Notamacropus eugenii: one gene and its partner. The protein of the gene in region 1 purifies or fractionates together with the protein of each later gene. This does not show direct contact. Links are inferred from orthologs where the notes say so. Each region holds a gene or a part of one and is shown in the gene's direction. Other genes may lie near its edges.

Evidence for each region.
Region 2: the proteins of CDK7 (region 1) and GTF2H5 purify together in Homo sapiens (affinity purification with mass spectrometry; 7 studies listed by BioGRID and IntAct, with this or other methods). This does not show direct contact. The link is inferred for Notamacropus eugenii from reciprocal best matches to the Homo sapiens genes CDK7 and GTF2H5.

The regions. Positions count from the first base shown.
Region 1 is NC_092875.1:474,388,442-474,396,387, reverse strand, and holds the start of CDK7 (cyclin-dependent kinase 7), read left to right. Parts: upstream 1-3,005; coding exon 3,006-3,071; intron 3,072-3,079; coding exon of another isoform or gene 3,080-3,253; coding exon 3,254-3,313; intron 3,314-3,390; coding exon of another isoform or gene 3,391-3,650; intron 3,651-7,946. Other genes in the region: uncharacterized protein, read right to left, coding at 2,339-3,037, 3,080-3,302, 3,391-3,650. UniProt on the Homo sapiens protein: Serine/threonine kinase involved in cell cycle control and in RNA polymerase II-mediated RNA transcription. Cyclin-dependent kinases (CDKs) are activated by the binding to a cyclin and mediate the progression through the cell cycle.
Region 2 is NC_092873.1:251,844,833-251,852,778, forward strand, and holds the start of GTF2H5 (general transcription factor IIH subunit 5), read left to right. Parts: upstream 1-3,583; 5' UTR 3,584-3,719; exon of another isoform or gene 3,720-3,771; intron 3,772-4,616; 5' UTR 4,617-4,676; coding exon 4,677-4,711; intron 4,712-7,946. UniProt on the Homo sapiens protein: Component of the general transcription and DNA repair factor IIH (TFIIH) core complex, which is involved in general and transcription-coupled nucleotide excision repair (NER) of damaged DNA and, when complexed to CAK, in RNA transcription by RNA polymerase II.

The DNA.
Region 1 (7,946 bases):
TGGTATCTGTTGTACCTACCTCGTGAGAAGCAGCACAATGGCGTGGGGGAAACCACCACCACCTCTACCACCCTGGGTTTGGAGTTTAGGACAGTGAAACACGTCCCTGCTAGATGGATGACCGTGGGGCAAATCCAGAACTTCAGTATTCTTTATCTGTAAAAGAGAATGATCACAGTTGTACTTCTTACCTCACAAAGGTGTGAGGAAAGGGCTGTGTAAATCTTAAAGCACTGGATAAGTGTATGTTAGGGTTGTTGTAAGGACTAAGCGAGATGATGTTTGTAAGTACTTGGTAAACCATAAGGCACCATAAAAATGTAAATTGATTTTATGATTTCTGTCTAGTATTCCAGTAGATAGATCTGACCTCATTAACTTGGCTATTTTCTTTTCTAGTAATGCAAATTGTAACTCATACATGGCTGCTTACCCTATGCACCTTTTGTCTATATCTCCTCATAAATCTAGGGTAGAGGATTCACCCAACATTCTGGGGACCTTCCTCTAGATCTCTTGATATTGCAGGGGTACAGAGGGAACACTCAGATTGTCCGTCAGTTATCCACCAACTTATGTGATTAGCCTATCCTTTTTTTTAAATGGGCACACACTTCTTGGATGGTCTCCTTTATGCTGTTTCTCCTGAGTCATTCTTGTTTATCATGTGCCTGCTTATTACGCCCATCCTGTTGTCTCCACTGACTCCTGCCTGAACCGTAGCTTCAGTTCGTCAGAGGCTGTAGCATTTTATGAGTCAAGCCATATAACGCCACTGGAAGAATATTGGTTTTAAAAAGATGAGTCTTTTGTTTCAGGGAGAATACTGAATTTATTTAGAGCCCTGCACATTTTCCCAAAGGTAGTCTAGCTTTTCTATTCATTTCTGGATCTAGCACAGTATGTAGCACCATTGGAGTAGGGCTGTGGTACTTTTCTCAAATAGTCACACACCTTTCCTATAATCCTCTAAATATTTAATAGATTGCTTTCAGCTGGGGAGGGGGATGACCTCTAATGACTCTTCCCTCCACTTCCTCTCCCCACCATCAGAATACCTTGCTTGACAGAATTATTTTTCATAATATCATTTAGAGTTGGACAGGATCATAGAGAACACTGGTTTACAACCCCTTTTACACATGAGAAAACTGAAGCCTAGAGAAGTTAAACCTCCACCTAGTATGTGGCAAAACTCAGGTCTGAGGTTAGATTTTCTGACTCAGTGCTCTTTCAAGATCACAAAACTGCCTTAACTCCACTTTATGGAGAAAACAGGGGTTAAGTGCAGGACTGGCTTATTGCATAGCTATCATGTGACAGACAGAATCTGAGCCCAGGTCTTCTAGTTCCTAGTCTCAGACTTTCCCCACCATATCATGCAGTCTTCAAAATGCCTAGTATAAAAATTTTACTCGAAATCACAGATGTTAAGGGCACTGTACTCGTTCCTCCCTCTAGCTCTGTTGCCCTAGTGCTGCTTAGAACAGGTGAGGACCACACAATAGCTATCCAGGATTTTCCAAATTACATTTCCTCTTCAGAAATGATTGGGACACATGCAGATCAAGCATAAAACAGCCATCATAACCGTTGGCTACGTAAATATAGTGTTCTCTATGGAAGCAGCCACCTCTAAGTCTAGATCTTAGCAACATGAACTCCACTCCTTGCATTTCTTTTATCCAAAAACAACGGGGGTGGAGGGGAATGGTTCTATCAAGAGTGGGGCTCAGTAGATGGAACGTTGCACTTGGAATCAGGCCTGAGTTCAAATCCTGTCTCATACTATTGGCACGACCCTGAGCAAAAAGTTTTTCTAAGCTTCATTTTGCGGATCAAGTGGATGTCACATTACCTGTAGTGCTTCAATCGTGAATCTCAAGTGACGTGTGTGAAGTCCCTCGTGAATCTCGATGCCACATCCCTCCAGCATCCTCATTCCCAGTAATTTACTGCCTTCCCTCATCTTCGCCTTCATCTAGGGGAAAAGTCTTTAATTTTCCTCTCATCCTCTTCTCTTCACCCAGCCACCTCATTCACCCTCTTACCATCTCTCCTGACTGTTTATGGCTCTTACCCTTCTAGCGCCTTCGTTTTGCTCCCTCAGTAATTTAGCTTTCTCTTCCCTCCCTTCCCCACCCTACCCCCACCGTCCTAACATAATGGAAGGAGCTGTCAAGACACTGAAATCGTAGGGTTATGGGTTTACGAGGGTGAGGAACTGCCCAGGTGGCTCACCAGCAGAACCCCGAAGAAGCGAGGTCCCGCCGGCACAGCCCGCGCTCAGACTTAGTTTTAGGAGTCCCTCCCCGCCCCACCCCGCGCCCCCCAGACATCAGGACCCGAGAGGCCAGGGTGGGAATGCTGTCTGACACGTGGACAGCGGACGCCTGGGTCTGTTTCCTCCAGCGTAAGCTAGGGTGCGAGGAGGCTGCACGAACTCGGCTGGAGCTGTTGCTGCGGGGCGCCAGGGCCAAGCGTGGCGCCCCCCTCCGAGCCAGGCTCCACGCTGGGAAGGGTCGCCACGCGGCCCGTGGAGCCGGCGGCCAAGAAAGGCTCGAACTCTGCCAGGAGAGGCGGCTGCTCCGGCCCTCTGCCCGCGCGTCCTCTCGGCTCGCTCCAGCCCAGAACCGAGTGACAAGTGGCCGCCCCGGCGGTCTCCCGGGCCATGTCGTCGGGTCATCTTCACTTCCGGCGATGGGCGGGGCGACAAGGCCGAGTCACTAGAGAAGCCACGGCGGTTGCTAGGGCCGCGGGAGGCGGGGATTCGCTGGACACACGCCCGGAAGCAATCGCTTGGTGGCTTCCTAGCGGGGGCGGGAGTAGCTGACGCCCAATCAGAGGGTGGGATCCACCATCGCTCCGCCCATCGCGGAAGTCGAGGGCTGAATGCTTTAAGAATCTGGGGGGGAAACCGAAGGACGGAAGTGACTGTTGGGCCGGCTGAGGTCGCTTTAAACTCCCTCTCCCCCCTCCCCTTCCCGGGCTCCGCGCGAGCGTCAATGGCGTTGGACGTGAAGTCACGAGCGAAGCGCTACGAGAAGCTCGACTTCCTCGGGGAGGGACAGGTGGGTACACTCGGGGCGTCCGCCGTCCGTGGCGTGGCGGCTCGGGAGCGGGTGGCCGGGGGGCCGGGCCGCCGGCTAGGCCCCCGTGTGTGCGGCCGCGGTCCTGCCGGCCCTTCCCCGTGCCCTCCCCTCCCCCTCCGCAGTGCGTGCAGAAAGTCACCGTGTGCCCTCTTCCCTTGCAGTTCGCCACGGTGTACAAAGCCCGGGACAAGAACACCGGCCAGATCGTCGCTATTAAAAAGGCGAGTTTCGCTCTCCCTCGTCTGTCTCTTCCTCCCAACGCGAGTGAAAAGGGGGGTTGTGGGGCGGAGGGGCGAGCCTGGCGGCCCCCCGGGATCCTGCACGGGAAGCGGCCTTCCTCAGGCCTTCCGCCCTCACCTCCTGGGCTCCCGGCTTCTTCCGAGGCCCGGCCCCGGTGTCCGGGCTGCCGCCTGCCTTCCCAGCCTTTCCTTTCTGCTTCCTTTTTGGAGCGGCGTGTTTACTTTGTATCTCTTTTGTATCTCTTGGTATGCTTTGTATCATACTGTATCCTGTAAGTACGAGGTCCAGCTTCACACGTACGCGTTTGTGTACGCTCGTCTGCAAACACATTTCACAGATGCTTTTATGGGAACGCGTTTCCCTTTCTGTGTATCTTCAGCCTGTCTGGCACAAAAGTAGACCTTTACTTTCAGGCTTGTTGATTGAGATGGAGTTGTATTCTTGAGGTTCCTCTCCAACGTAAATCGTGATTGTCAGCAGAATTAGTATAGCTTGGATTCAGCTGTCCCCTCCGACACACATGACTGCCTCTGTGACCGGGGCCAGTCATTTCGTGTGTCCGTGCTTGGGGCAGCTCTCTCAAACTACAAGTTCCAGAACAGTTGTGTTGGTAAAGGGAGCCCCCTACATTGACAAAATTATAAGTCCAGTTGAAATCCGATCGTTAACCAAAACCGCTTCCTGACAGGCTGTAGGCCTAGAGTGGTGATGTTTATGTTTATTTAGGGTGTGATGTGGAAACCTGTTTGTGATAATACAATTTTTTAAAATAAGCATAAAATCTTTTTACTTATTTTGATCCCTGAGCTGCAGATACTCCCAAACACTAAGCATTGCTCATCCCAGAGACGGTGGGACTCTATTTTCTGGTTTGGGTTTTTTTCCTCCCCCAAAATACTATTTTGAGTCTCTAAGTTTTGCTTTTGCAGCTATCCTGTTTTTTCCTTTAAACAACTCACTACTTTGATCCATTGTCCGTTGTCATGGAAATATTTTCCCTTATAACATATATAATTTTCACTTTGTTCGGCTTTCATGACATTAATAAAGTCAGCTGTCATTTAACAGAAGAGAATAAGTTTGAATCATATCTTAGTGCTCTGCTGTTTTTTTTTTTTTTCAGGTACAGTGGAAGGGGCACAGAAGACCTAGGTTTGAATAGTAGTTGTGTTATTGGGTACCTGTGTGACCTTGGGAAATTATTTAACTTTTTGGGGCTCCAGTTTCCTTATCTGTAAAGATAAGGAATTGGACTTTTGATGACCTTGGGGTCCTTTCCAACTTTAAATCTTCAATTCTACTTTCTAGCTACTTCTAGCCCTTCCTTTTCTCATTAGCACTTGTGTTTGTCCTTCATTCTGGAAGAGGACTATGACATCAAGATGATGACATGACTTGCAGTTGACTTTGATTTGAGTGAGGGAGGGCTGTACAAGGTCATCAGCCTCACTTCCTTCTCCTGAGCCATCTGGGTGCAGTAACCAGATATTATTCATCAGGATGACTGGAGATGACCCAGGATGCAATGTGAGACCTTGGCCATTTTAGGCTAAGGTCTTACACAATCTTACTTTGAGTGAGATACACCCATTCAATGAATAGACTTCTTTAAGTTACTCAAGGGATGACCCCTTTAATAAAAAAAAAAAAAAAAAAAAAATGGGAGGGGAAGACCCTCAGGGTTCCTGGGTAAAAGAGAAATAATTACTATTTAGTTATTACATCCACTCTGTGCTAGGTGGGTGGGGTCTTGTCCATTCTATGAGATCCAGCGTGAATTGGGTTAAAGGCTTGATCTTTGAGCAAGAAATCTAGCCAGTAAACCCAAAGGAAAAAAGGCAGCTTTTGTCCATGGAGTTTACCTCCCCCTGAGCAGAACACCAGAGGAGAGGAGAGGAAACTACCTGAGAGAGAATGGCTGCCCAGTCGGAGGGCTGGATGCCCCTTGAGAGAGAGGTTCTAGTCCCTACCTTTTGCCTTTATGCAGGACCACACCTTTACTTGTAGCAATAAAATATCCTATAAGAATTATTTGCTTCATAGTTTAAAATTTTAAATTTTCTTCACCAATCTAAATTCCTCAGATTAAGCTGTAAAATGTCTCAGATGGAAGGAGGTAGCATGGCACAGTAGAACACTAAGAGCTAGAAAACCTGACTTCTTAGTCTTCCCTAAGCTAGCTGGAAGCTTGGGAGAAGTAACTTACTTTCTCTCTAATTTTTTGTGTCCAAAATGAGATGGAACTAGGTGGTTGCTGAGGTACATTCTGGGTTCTAAAACTCTCCCACCATCCCTTCTAGTCACCCAGGCTTGCAATCGTAATTGACCAGTCACACTTTCTCTTAAACCCAGCCCCCAAATCCAGTCAATTGCCTGGGGCTGTTAATTTCACCTCCACGAGATTCTTGCAGTTGTAGCCTTCTCTTCCCCACTCGAACTCTAGACTTTATCAACTTTCTCCTGAGTTATTAATAAAAATGGCAAGAAGTTCTCCTAATTGGTCTCCCTCATTTCAGACTTTCCCCTCTCCAACCTTCTTCCTCATAGCTCCCAAAACAATCTTAAAGCAGAGGTCTGACCCTGTTGAAGCTTTAGTCCAAGGTGGGGGACCTTCTGCCTCAAGGCCATATGTAGCACTCTAGGTCCTTGTGTTCAGCCTTTTGAATCCAAATTTCACAGAACAAATACCCTTCATAAAAGGATTGGTTCTGTAAAACCTGGACTCGGTCAAAAGGCCACTCTCTCCAAGGACCTTAAAGGCCACAAGTTCCCTATTCCTGCCTTAGTCCCTCTCTTTAACCTCTAGCACACAATTTATACTCCTCAGTTTGACATTTGAAATCTGTCTTAGTGTGGCTTCAACCACCTTTTTTGCCTTTTCTGAGCCAAACAAGGTTACTTGCAGTTCCCCAAGTTTAATATTTTGTCTCCTGTCTCAGTGCCTCTGGCTAGCCTGCACAGCTGAACTGATCTTTATCCTAAACCCTACCTCTTAGAATGTCTAGCTTCCTTCAAGGGTCAGCTCAGTTGCTACTGCCCACAAAAAACTTTTCCTTCTCAGATTATCTTTTATTTACTCTATATCCCCCAGAAGGGTATAACTTCCTTGAGAGTATAAAATATTTATGTCTATATTGGTGCCCTCTGAATAGTTCATCAGGCTGAATGATTTAAATTAATTTTGGAGTTTTGATGATCTGCAATCTTAACTGCCTACTTACATAAAAAACCAAAGAGTTCAGCTCACAGACAGGGGTGTGCTGGAGCCAGAGAACAAATTATTAAATTTTTACTGTTATCATTTACACATTGAAAATCAGTAAATATTACAAAGAGCTTGATGTAATATTTTCTTGATTGTCTAGACTTGAAAAGTGATGAATAAAATGTTAATAACATAGATTAAAATTAAAACTGTGTCATGCATACAAGCTGGTTGTGTGTGTGTGTGTGTGTGTGTGTGTGTGTTTCCCAGAGGTCAGGTTATTAAACATTTACCAGCATATCCCCAGCATAGGATCCTAAAATTGAAATGAACTTTCTTCAGGCCATCATCTGACTTTCTACCGGATGCAGAAATCACTTTTCTATAAAAGGCATCCATTGTCTATTTGAACACTTCTAGCAAAGGGAAGCTTATTTGACAGCTCTCTCCCCTTGTTACTACGGAGGCATCCAGGTAGTACAGTGGATAGTGCAGGTCTTAAAGTCAGGAACCTCTGTTGGAATCATGTCTCCAACAGTTATTAGCCTTATGATCCTGGGCAGCTAATTCACTTAACTTCTCAGCCTCAGTTTCCTCATCTTTAATATAAGGATGTTGAATTCAGTATCCCCTGGGGTCCCTTCCAGTTCCAAATTTATGATCTTATTATAAAGCAGTTTTATTCAGTTTTTGATGACATTATTATATTTAAGCCAAAACATGCCTCTTTACTTCTTTAAACTGGTTTTCTTACAGCATTGTTTCCAGATCTTTTGCCATCTTGGTTGCACTATAGTGTGTGTCTTAAAATAATGATATGCATAAGGCTGCATTTTGTATTCTATGAAATATCTGACAGCACAGATCACACTGAGATTTATTCAGGTGCTTTGTATCAGAGTCATATCTAGGGTAGAACAACAAGGGCTTTGTCCCAGGGAACTGAATTTGCATTTACAAGGTAAAATTTCAGTACTTAAACAATATAGAAACATCTGAATTTAGCAACTTTTTAGGAAGAAGAATTAGTCAAACAAGAAGCTATCAAATGGAGAGAGAGAGAGGGGAAGTCAGGATAAGGATCCAGGATTCCTTTTATTTCCATGGAGAAATTGCCTTGCTTTCCCCCAACCCAGCTGAAGGTATATCCCATTCCACTTGTTCCAATTACAGTTTGTCATGATTGCCCTAAGCCCCAAAATAACTAGTTTTAGCTCTGAGCTGTATAGTGCTTCTAAAAATTCAGCCTAAGATTGCATTCATTTTTTTTTTTAGTAACTTGTTGGTTTATACGGAATTTGTCCCATCTTGGAAGATCGTTTTCCCCTTCCCTTTTTACTCCCTTTCTTCCTTGTCCCCTTCCCAAATACACGTTTTGGTCTTTTGCAGGTGAACTTTTAAGGCAGGTG
Region 2 (7,946 bases), on another chromosome or scaffold:
AGCTCCATACACAATAAGATTGCTCACAAGATAATTTTTGTACCTTTCCTATGACATTTTGTTATATAATACTGTGGGAGTTGAGAAGTGGAAGTGATTTTCCCACCTGGGAAGATCAGGAAATGCTTCATAAAGAAGATGGCAATGATTTGACTCTTCAAGTATGGGTATGATTTGAACAGATGAAGATGAAGAGGAAGATATTCCAGGCAAAAAAGTCTTTAATATAATTAAAGGGAGAGTGATGGAGTAAGGAAGAGGCATGTTCAAGAAACAGAGTGACTAGGCCAGTTTGACTGGTGCACCAAATACAGAAAGAAGAATAAAAGATAAAAATTAGAAAGGCAGCTGGATTTAAAAAATGGAAAATATTAAATGACAGACTGAACTGGACTTTTATTCAGTATGTAATGGGTAGTCATTTAAGTTTTTTGATCAACTGAGCAGAGTATATGATTCCAGTTATATTTATAGGATTATTTCCCTGGCAGGAGTATGCAGGACAGATTGGGAGAGAAAGCACAGGCACTTAATAAATATTTGACTGATTGACTGACGAGAGAGCCTGGAGACACAAATCAATTAGAAGGCTACCACAATAATTAAGGAAGAAGAAGAAGAAAGGGAATGGAGAAGTGAACAATCAATAATATTTGGCAATGTACTGGACTAAGTAACGGAACAGAAAAAGGAAACAAAGAGGTCTGAACTCTGAAGTTGACTGGGAAGATAGTAGGACCAATAATAAAAATAAAGAAATCAGAAGATAGAGTGATTTTGTGAGAAAAAACACCCAAACACCACAATTACAGATAAAGCAGAAAACACCATAACCATAGGTCACTTACTTCTTGCTACACGACTGGTAAAATTACTTTCTTCCTGTTTCACAAATACTAGAAAATAAGAATAAATGTACTTTACAAATCATTATATGTATATACTACATATTTATGTGTTCATTTTTAATAATTATCTCCAAATTTCACATGTCCTACCAAACAAAACTTACCCTAAAAGCTTCCCTGGTGTGGCTCCACTGTTGACTACAATTCTGTAATAGTCTATGGTTAAAGAATAGAAGGCTATAGACATCAGACTCCCTTTGATACCAGTAAAGTCCTGAAAGGCATGCATTATATTAACTGCACTGTTGTTTTCATCTCCAGCCCTCCACACCACTTAGTTCAGTACTCTGCCCTTAGTTATAATCAATAAATGCTGTCCAATGACCCTAAAGACTACTGGCAAATAAAATCACACTTCATGGGAAAAAGATGAATGCTGAAAGCTGTTTCTCAGGGTTGTTTTTTTTAAATAGTCAATAACTCATCTAGGCCAACAAATGATTTTTCAACCCTTAGAAGTTTTGGATCATTTCAGTTTTTAATGACCCCTCTTAGCTTTCTTTTCTGATTTATTAGGCTCAGTGCAGAACCTGCTTTTCTTTTCTCTCCACACTCCTTCACTGGAAGACCTAATCAGCTCCCATGGGCTCCATTACCATCTCTATGCAGGTGCCATTCAACCACACTAGACATTTCAAACTGAATGCCCATAGGCATCTCAAATTCAACATACCCAAAACAAAATTCATTCTTTCTCTCTTTTTCTCTCAATCCACCTCTCTTACAAACTGCCCTATTATTGTTAAGGGTACAACCAGTCATCTAGTCACCTAGGTTCAAGACCACAGTGTCATCTTCAACTCACTTTCAATTATCCCATCTCTCCAAATCAGTAGCCAAAACTTATCACCTCTGTCTCCGCAAGGCTCCTATACATCCTTCCTTCTCTCCCTTCACACCTCCATCCCCACTCCCACCCCTCCATTCAAGTTCCCTATCACCTCTTACCTAATTTGTTATCCTTACTTCAAATCTTTCCCTAATTCAATCTCTCCTCCACACACCCATCAAAATAATTTTCTAAAGGACAGGTATGACAATGTCACCCCACATTCCCTTACTCAATAAGTTCCAGCAGTTCCCTATTATCTCCAGGATCAAATATCAATTCCTCTGGCATTCATATCTCTTCACAACCTTCTGTCCTTCCAATCTTTTATGTGTTAATCCCCTGCTTGCACTCTTATCCAGACATACTGGCCTACCTGCTGTTCTGCACACAAGGTGTTCCACCTTTCATCTTCATTTCCCTTCTTTGTGGCTTCGAATAAAAAGGTGAGTTGTCCTCTGTACCTCGTATGAACTCCCTCCTCACCTCAACTCAAATGTTACCTTAACCATGAAGCCTTTTCCTGATCCTTCCAGCTGGTAGAAACTTCCTTCCCTTCTATTCATTTTGTGTATATATATATACAAACATATATGTATATGCTTATATATGGACATGTCTCCTCCATTAAAACATACATTCTTTGAGGGCTGGGACTGTTTCAAATTTGTCTGTGCATCCCCAACCTTTAGCACAGTGCCTGGCACACGGTAGGGACGGTTTAGTGAATGACTGACAGGTTAAGTGACTTGCCTTGGGTCACCACAGCTTAAATATTTGCATTAGAGATAACTCATGACCTGGGAAAAAAGAGAGACTGAGAAAGAGACAGAGAGAAGGAGGGAGATAGAAAAAGAAAGGGGAAGAAAAGAAAGAGAGAAGAGACAGACAAGCGAGAGAGGGGAGGGAAAGACAGAGGAACGGAGGAAGAGGAGACAGAAAGAGACATGGAGAAAATAGAGAAAGAGACAGAGAGAGACAGAGGAGGGAGAGACAGGCAAGAAAGGGAAAAAAACAGAGACAGACTGGACGCGAGTGGAAGGGGAGAGATAGACAAGACAATCATAAACAGACAGCCAAAAGACAGAGAGCCCAGGAAGGTGAAGAGAAAGGAGAGAGAGAACAGAGACAGGAGAGATGAAAGACAGGAAACAGAGAAGGGGGAGAGACAGACAAGGGACAGGAAAAGAGAGATAAGACAGAGAGAGGGTGGATCGCAGTAAAGTGTGAGGGAGGACATCAAATTGCACAGCAATAAGAAGTGAGAGGGAGGCGAGAACATTGGTGCAGCCAGGGCAGACAGCTGTCTTCCAGAAGCCTGGCTGTAAGAGGGAGCTGTACAGACGGAAGACGCAGAGGGGAAGGCACCCACCACCCACCTCCAAAGGAAGCAAAGGGAAGCAGGAAGAGGCGCACGCGCACTCACGAGCCAGGGCCCAGCTGAGCACGCCACGCCCCCCGCCTAAGCAGTCAGTCGGTTAAGGGCAAGGCAGGACAGCGCCGGGCACAGCCGGGCAAGGCCAGGGTCAGCCTCAGAGAAGCAGTAGGGTGGCCCGCGCAGCTTCTCAAACGGGGGTGCTCCCGTGGCTCCGCTCCATCCCGCCCCAACGTATCCGGCTCCGAGCCTCCCCAGCCCCCGGAGGAGTCACAACTGACGCACTCCTCGTCCCTCCCCCGCTTCCTTCCCACCTACCTGGCTGCTGCGGGCGGATCGTTCCCGCCCACAGCCGAACTGGATCTGGTGGGGGGGGGGAAGGAAAGGAGGAGGATAAGGGAAAAGACCCACCCCGATCCGCTCCCGGGCCCCGGCGCCCAAGAGCCTCTGCCACTGGCGCGGGCACGTGACCCCGCCCTCCGTTCCTCCCACGGGTGTAGCCCCGCCCCCTCTGCGTAACCTCACCGACCCGACGCAGAAACCTACAGCGCAGGCGCACTCCGCTGATAATTCCGGCGAGCTGCAGCTGGGACCTGGCTGGTCGGAGGTGCGTCGCTGTTGTTAGGGATTGGTAGGTGGTGTAGCTTCCGGACTCGAAGGTGAGAGGAGTACGCCTGGAGTGGCCGAGGGATAGCTAGGCCCAGGGTTAGCCACCCCTTCCTCTCCCTGCCGTGCTGCCTTCCTCAGGGGCTGCGGAGCGAAGGCACGGCCTTGCCCCCCCTCCCCCAGCCCGCGGAGGATCTGGAGTCCTCGGCGTGTTGGGTGCCCAGAGCAGGACCCGGGAATGTGAATAATAATAGTAATTTACTAAGAGCCGATTTTTACGTAGCTCTTTAAGGTTTGTCAAGCCCTTTACGTAACAACGCTTTTCATTTGTTGTCTCACTTCAAGCAGCCTTCTCAGGCTGCCGTGAACCCTTCCCCCATCCCCTTTTATTGTGACTTAGATTGATTGCATCTCGGCCTGGACTGTCTATCTATTACCGGTCCCAAGCTCGGACCCTAAAACACATCCAGGTCCTCATCCCCGGGTTTCTGTAGGCGTCCAAGTGCCAGCAAATACTGGGTTGGATGTGGTCCTGGATTATTTTTTTTTAAAAAGCTAGAATACCCAACTATCCCTAATAGTTAATTTTTTTTCCTATTCACTATGTCCCAGCCTTTACTAGAATGAGTATTTAGAATTTTGTTGTATTCCATATATTTAATGTGTGCAATTTGGTGAACAAAATTACACTTGATGATAGGTTAAATTTTAAGGGAAAGTCAATGATGACAACTGAGCTATATTTTCTTTGTAAATATGCTTTATCGTCTTTGAATCAGAAGTGTTGAAAATGACTTTTGTGGGTTTATGTAGTAATATCATCATTTTCATTATCCTTATGTTTCTTTTAGTGAAATGTTAAAATTGATTATTGATTGATTTTTTTTTTAAATTTTAGTTCACTTCGTCCCTTTTGTTGACATCATTGACAGCATTTGACACTTGTAACTTGGAGAAAATGGTGAATGTCTTGAAAGGCGTACTTATAGAATGGTTAGTACTTTTTCACTTATGAGTGTTGATTTTCTCACTTACTTTTTTTTGTTCCTACGAAGCCCATTAGTTTCCTCATTTATAAAATTAGATGATCTGACTCAGTGATAATCTAAGGCCACCTCCTGCTCCTTGAGATTTTATGATTCTAAGTCCCAGTGAAGCTTTTCCTGATTATTCCAGGCCTTTTTGGTTTTCCTTTTCCTTTGAACCACCATTGAACTTAGATGTTCTACCCTCTGGTTTGGTACTTAGAATCACACATTCTTAGAGGATGTAGGACTACCAGTTGACACTTTTCCTTCTCCTCTGCTAACTTCTGACTCTTTGAGGAACTGTGCTCTATAGTTCTCTCCACTTAACAGCAACCACCAAGTTCAAGGCACTGTGGGGACACTGGTGTACATTAAGTAGTTCAAAGCAAAATAGAGTAGCCTCATGATTGACTGATGTTAGTTTACATAGAGAAATAAAAGATACAATTGGATGTCTTTTTTTAACTTGGGCTATTTATACCTCTTTTTGGAGTGTCTTGCAAGTTTATGTTGATGCGTGGGTAATTGACCTGATTATATATTCAGTAAGTCATAATTCACATTACATGTGGGGATGTTCTCTAATCAACTTGATGCATTTTACAGGATGTTGAGAGTCTTGAATTTGGATTGTGCCTTTCTCTGAAGAGCATAGACACTTCCCTGTATATTCTTTAGGTCTCTTTTTAAAGACTAGTGATTGTTTCATGGGTTGAGGATAAATACAGGCTTTGTTTTTTAAACAGCAGTGGAGATTAATTGTTTGGCACTAGAATGTTTCTAGTGGTGTCACTACCCTAGAACACTACCACTATAGCTATTCATTCTCTTCTCTGTAAATGGGAGTAGTAGTTGTTTCAGTTTTCTTTCTCTTACTTCCCATTTGGGATTTTCTTGGCAAAGATACTGGAGTGGTTTGTCATTTTCCTCCTCTAGCTCATTTTACAGATGAGGAAACTGAGTTAAGTGATTTGCTCAGGGTCACACAGCTACTAAGTGTCCGAGGCAGAATTTGAACTCAAGAAGATGAGTCTTCCCAACTTCAGGCCCATCACTCTATCCACTGTGGCATCTAGTTATCCCTAAATGGCAGTAGATGTTTTAAATGCTATTGAATATGCTAGCCTACCTTCTGGAAGATATGATAAAAGTTCTAAACAAAAGCTCATCATACCTTAAAATTCATCAAATGAACTTAAATAGAGTTTTAAGTTTTAAAAAGTTCTCTTCTTACAACAGCCTGTTAGGGCAGGCATTTCAGCTACTACCCCATTTTACAAAAGAGGAAATTAACTTGCCCAAGGGTACACAGCTAGTAAATATTAGAAGTAGGATTTGAACCCACATCTTCTTGATTAGTGGTCTTTCAGTTGTACTGTTTGCCCTTGAATGGAAGCTTTAAAAAAAAAAAAAAGATACAAGTGGCACAGACGTAACATATTAATGCAGATATCTTGATTATGCAAATACTTTACTCAACTTATTTCTCAGAAGCAAAGAACACTATTCAATTCAAAGTATTCAAGTAACTTTCTGAGGTGAGAAATAGAAAATGCTGGACAGTTAAAGGATCCCAATATTTTCTTAAAGGTTGAGAGATCAGCAATACATTGAGAAAATTATGAAAGGAGCTTCTCTGTGCCTACACACTTTCTAGTTTTAGCTTTTTTGGTGTAGTTGCTCTAGATGATCATCTCGGAAAAAAGGCTTATACTTCCTGTGTACACATCCTCATCAGCACCCACTACAGTCTAGTTCCCATCATTCAACAAAAACTTTAATCCTCACCACTCTACTGAAACTGTTCTCCCCAGAGCCACCAGTAAGTTCCCAGTTGATAAATCCAATAGTTGTTTCTTAATCCTCATCCTTGACCTTTCTACAGCATTTGACAAGGCTCATCACCCCCATCCTTCTTGATATTATTATCCCTCTTGACTCCTTTGATACTGTTTTGTCCTGCTTTTTCTCCTACCTTTTTGGGTTTTCCTTTTGTCTCTTTCCCTGGGTGTTCTTCTCACCTGGCAATATGAATTTCTCCTAATGTTATGTCATTTCTCCTCTTCTAACCTTGTATTCTATTCCTGTTGGTACTTATTTCTGTGACTTCAGTTACTATCCCAGATGACTTTCAGTTGTTTCCAGCTGCAACCCTGCATTTCAAACTGCTCTCTGTACGTATCCACTGGTGTGCTGTGCTCAACTCAACAGCATGCCTCAACTGACCTCATTTTAGTCCTCTTTCCTTTCCTAAGTTTCCTTTTTCTGTTTATCCTCCTATCAGTCATTTAAGCCCTTAACTTCGGAGTCATCTGTGTTTTCATTCTGTCATTCCCCATTATCTAGTCAGTTGCCAAGTCCTATTAATTCTATTTCTACAACATTTCACATCCATCCCTTTTTCTTTTCTACCAACTCCTATTCTCACCTGGAATATTGTGGCCCCTTCCAACTGGTCTCCCTGTCTCCAGTTTCTCCCCTCCATTCCATCCTTCATCCTACTGGGAAATCAATCTTCCTAATGCATAGATCAGATCTTGTCACTCCTTTGCTCAAAAAATCTTCACTGATTACATCTTACCTGTGGAATAAAATGCAAATACCTTTACTTGGCATCTCCATAACTAGATTTTATCCTGGCTTTCTAGTCTTTTTTTTGCACACTATATCTCTTCATAAATTTTACATTCTGCCCATATTGGAGTCCTTGTTTCTTGGGCTTTGCTTACTCTGTTCAACCTCTGTTGAATACTCACTTTTGAAACCTGGAATGAACTTTAGCTCCACAGATTAAAATCCTTTTCAAAACAAAGATCAGGTGCCACCTCCAGGCTGCATTCCTTGGTTTTTTCTTCCCTAATGCTAGACGATTCCTTCACCACAAATTTCTCGTACTCTTTTAACTATCATATGTGTGTGTGTGTGTGTGTGTGTGTGTGTGTGTGTATCTCCTATATATATGTATATATCCTATATACTTCTAAATATTTCTGTTCTGACATAGTGTCGCATTGTGTATGTCTTCTCCATGTACACATTTGAGAACAGGGAGTGTTTTTTTTTTTTCCATTTGTGTATCGCCCAGTATTATTGCAGTGCCACACTGGGCACATGATAAAAGTTTATTGAGTTGAATTTGCTCAGATGAGAAAATGTATCGATAAGAGCCCACATGCCCAATTAATTCCAAGCACTAATGT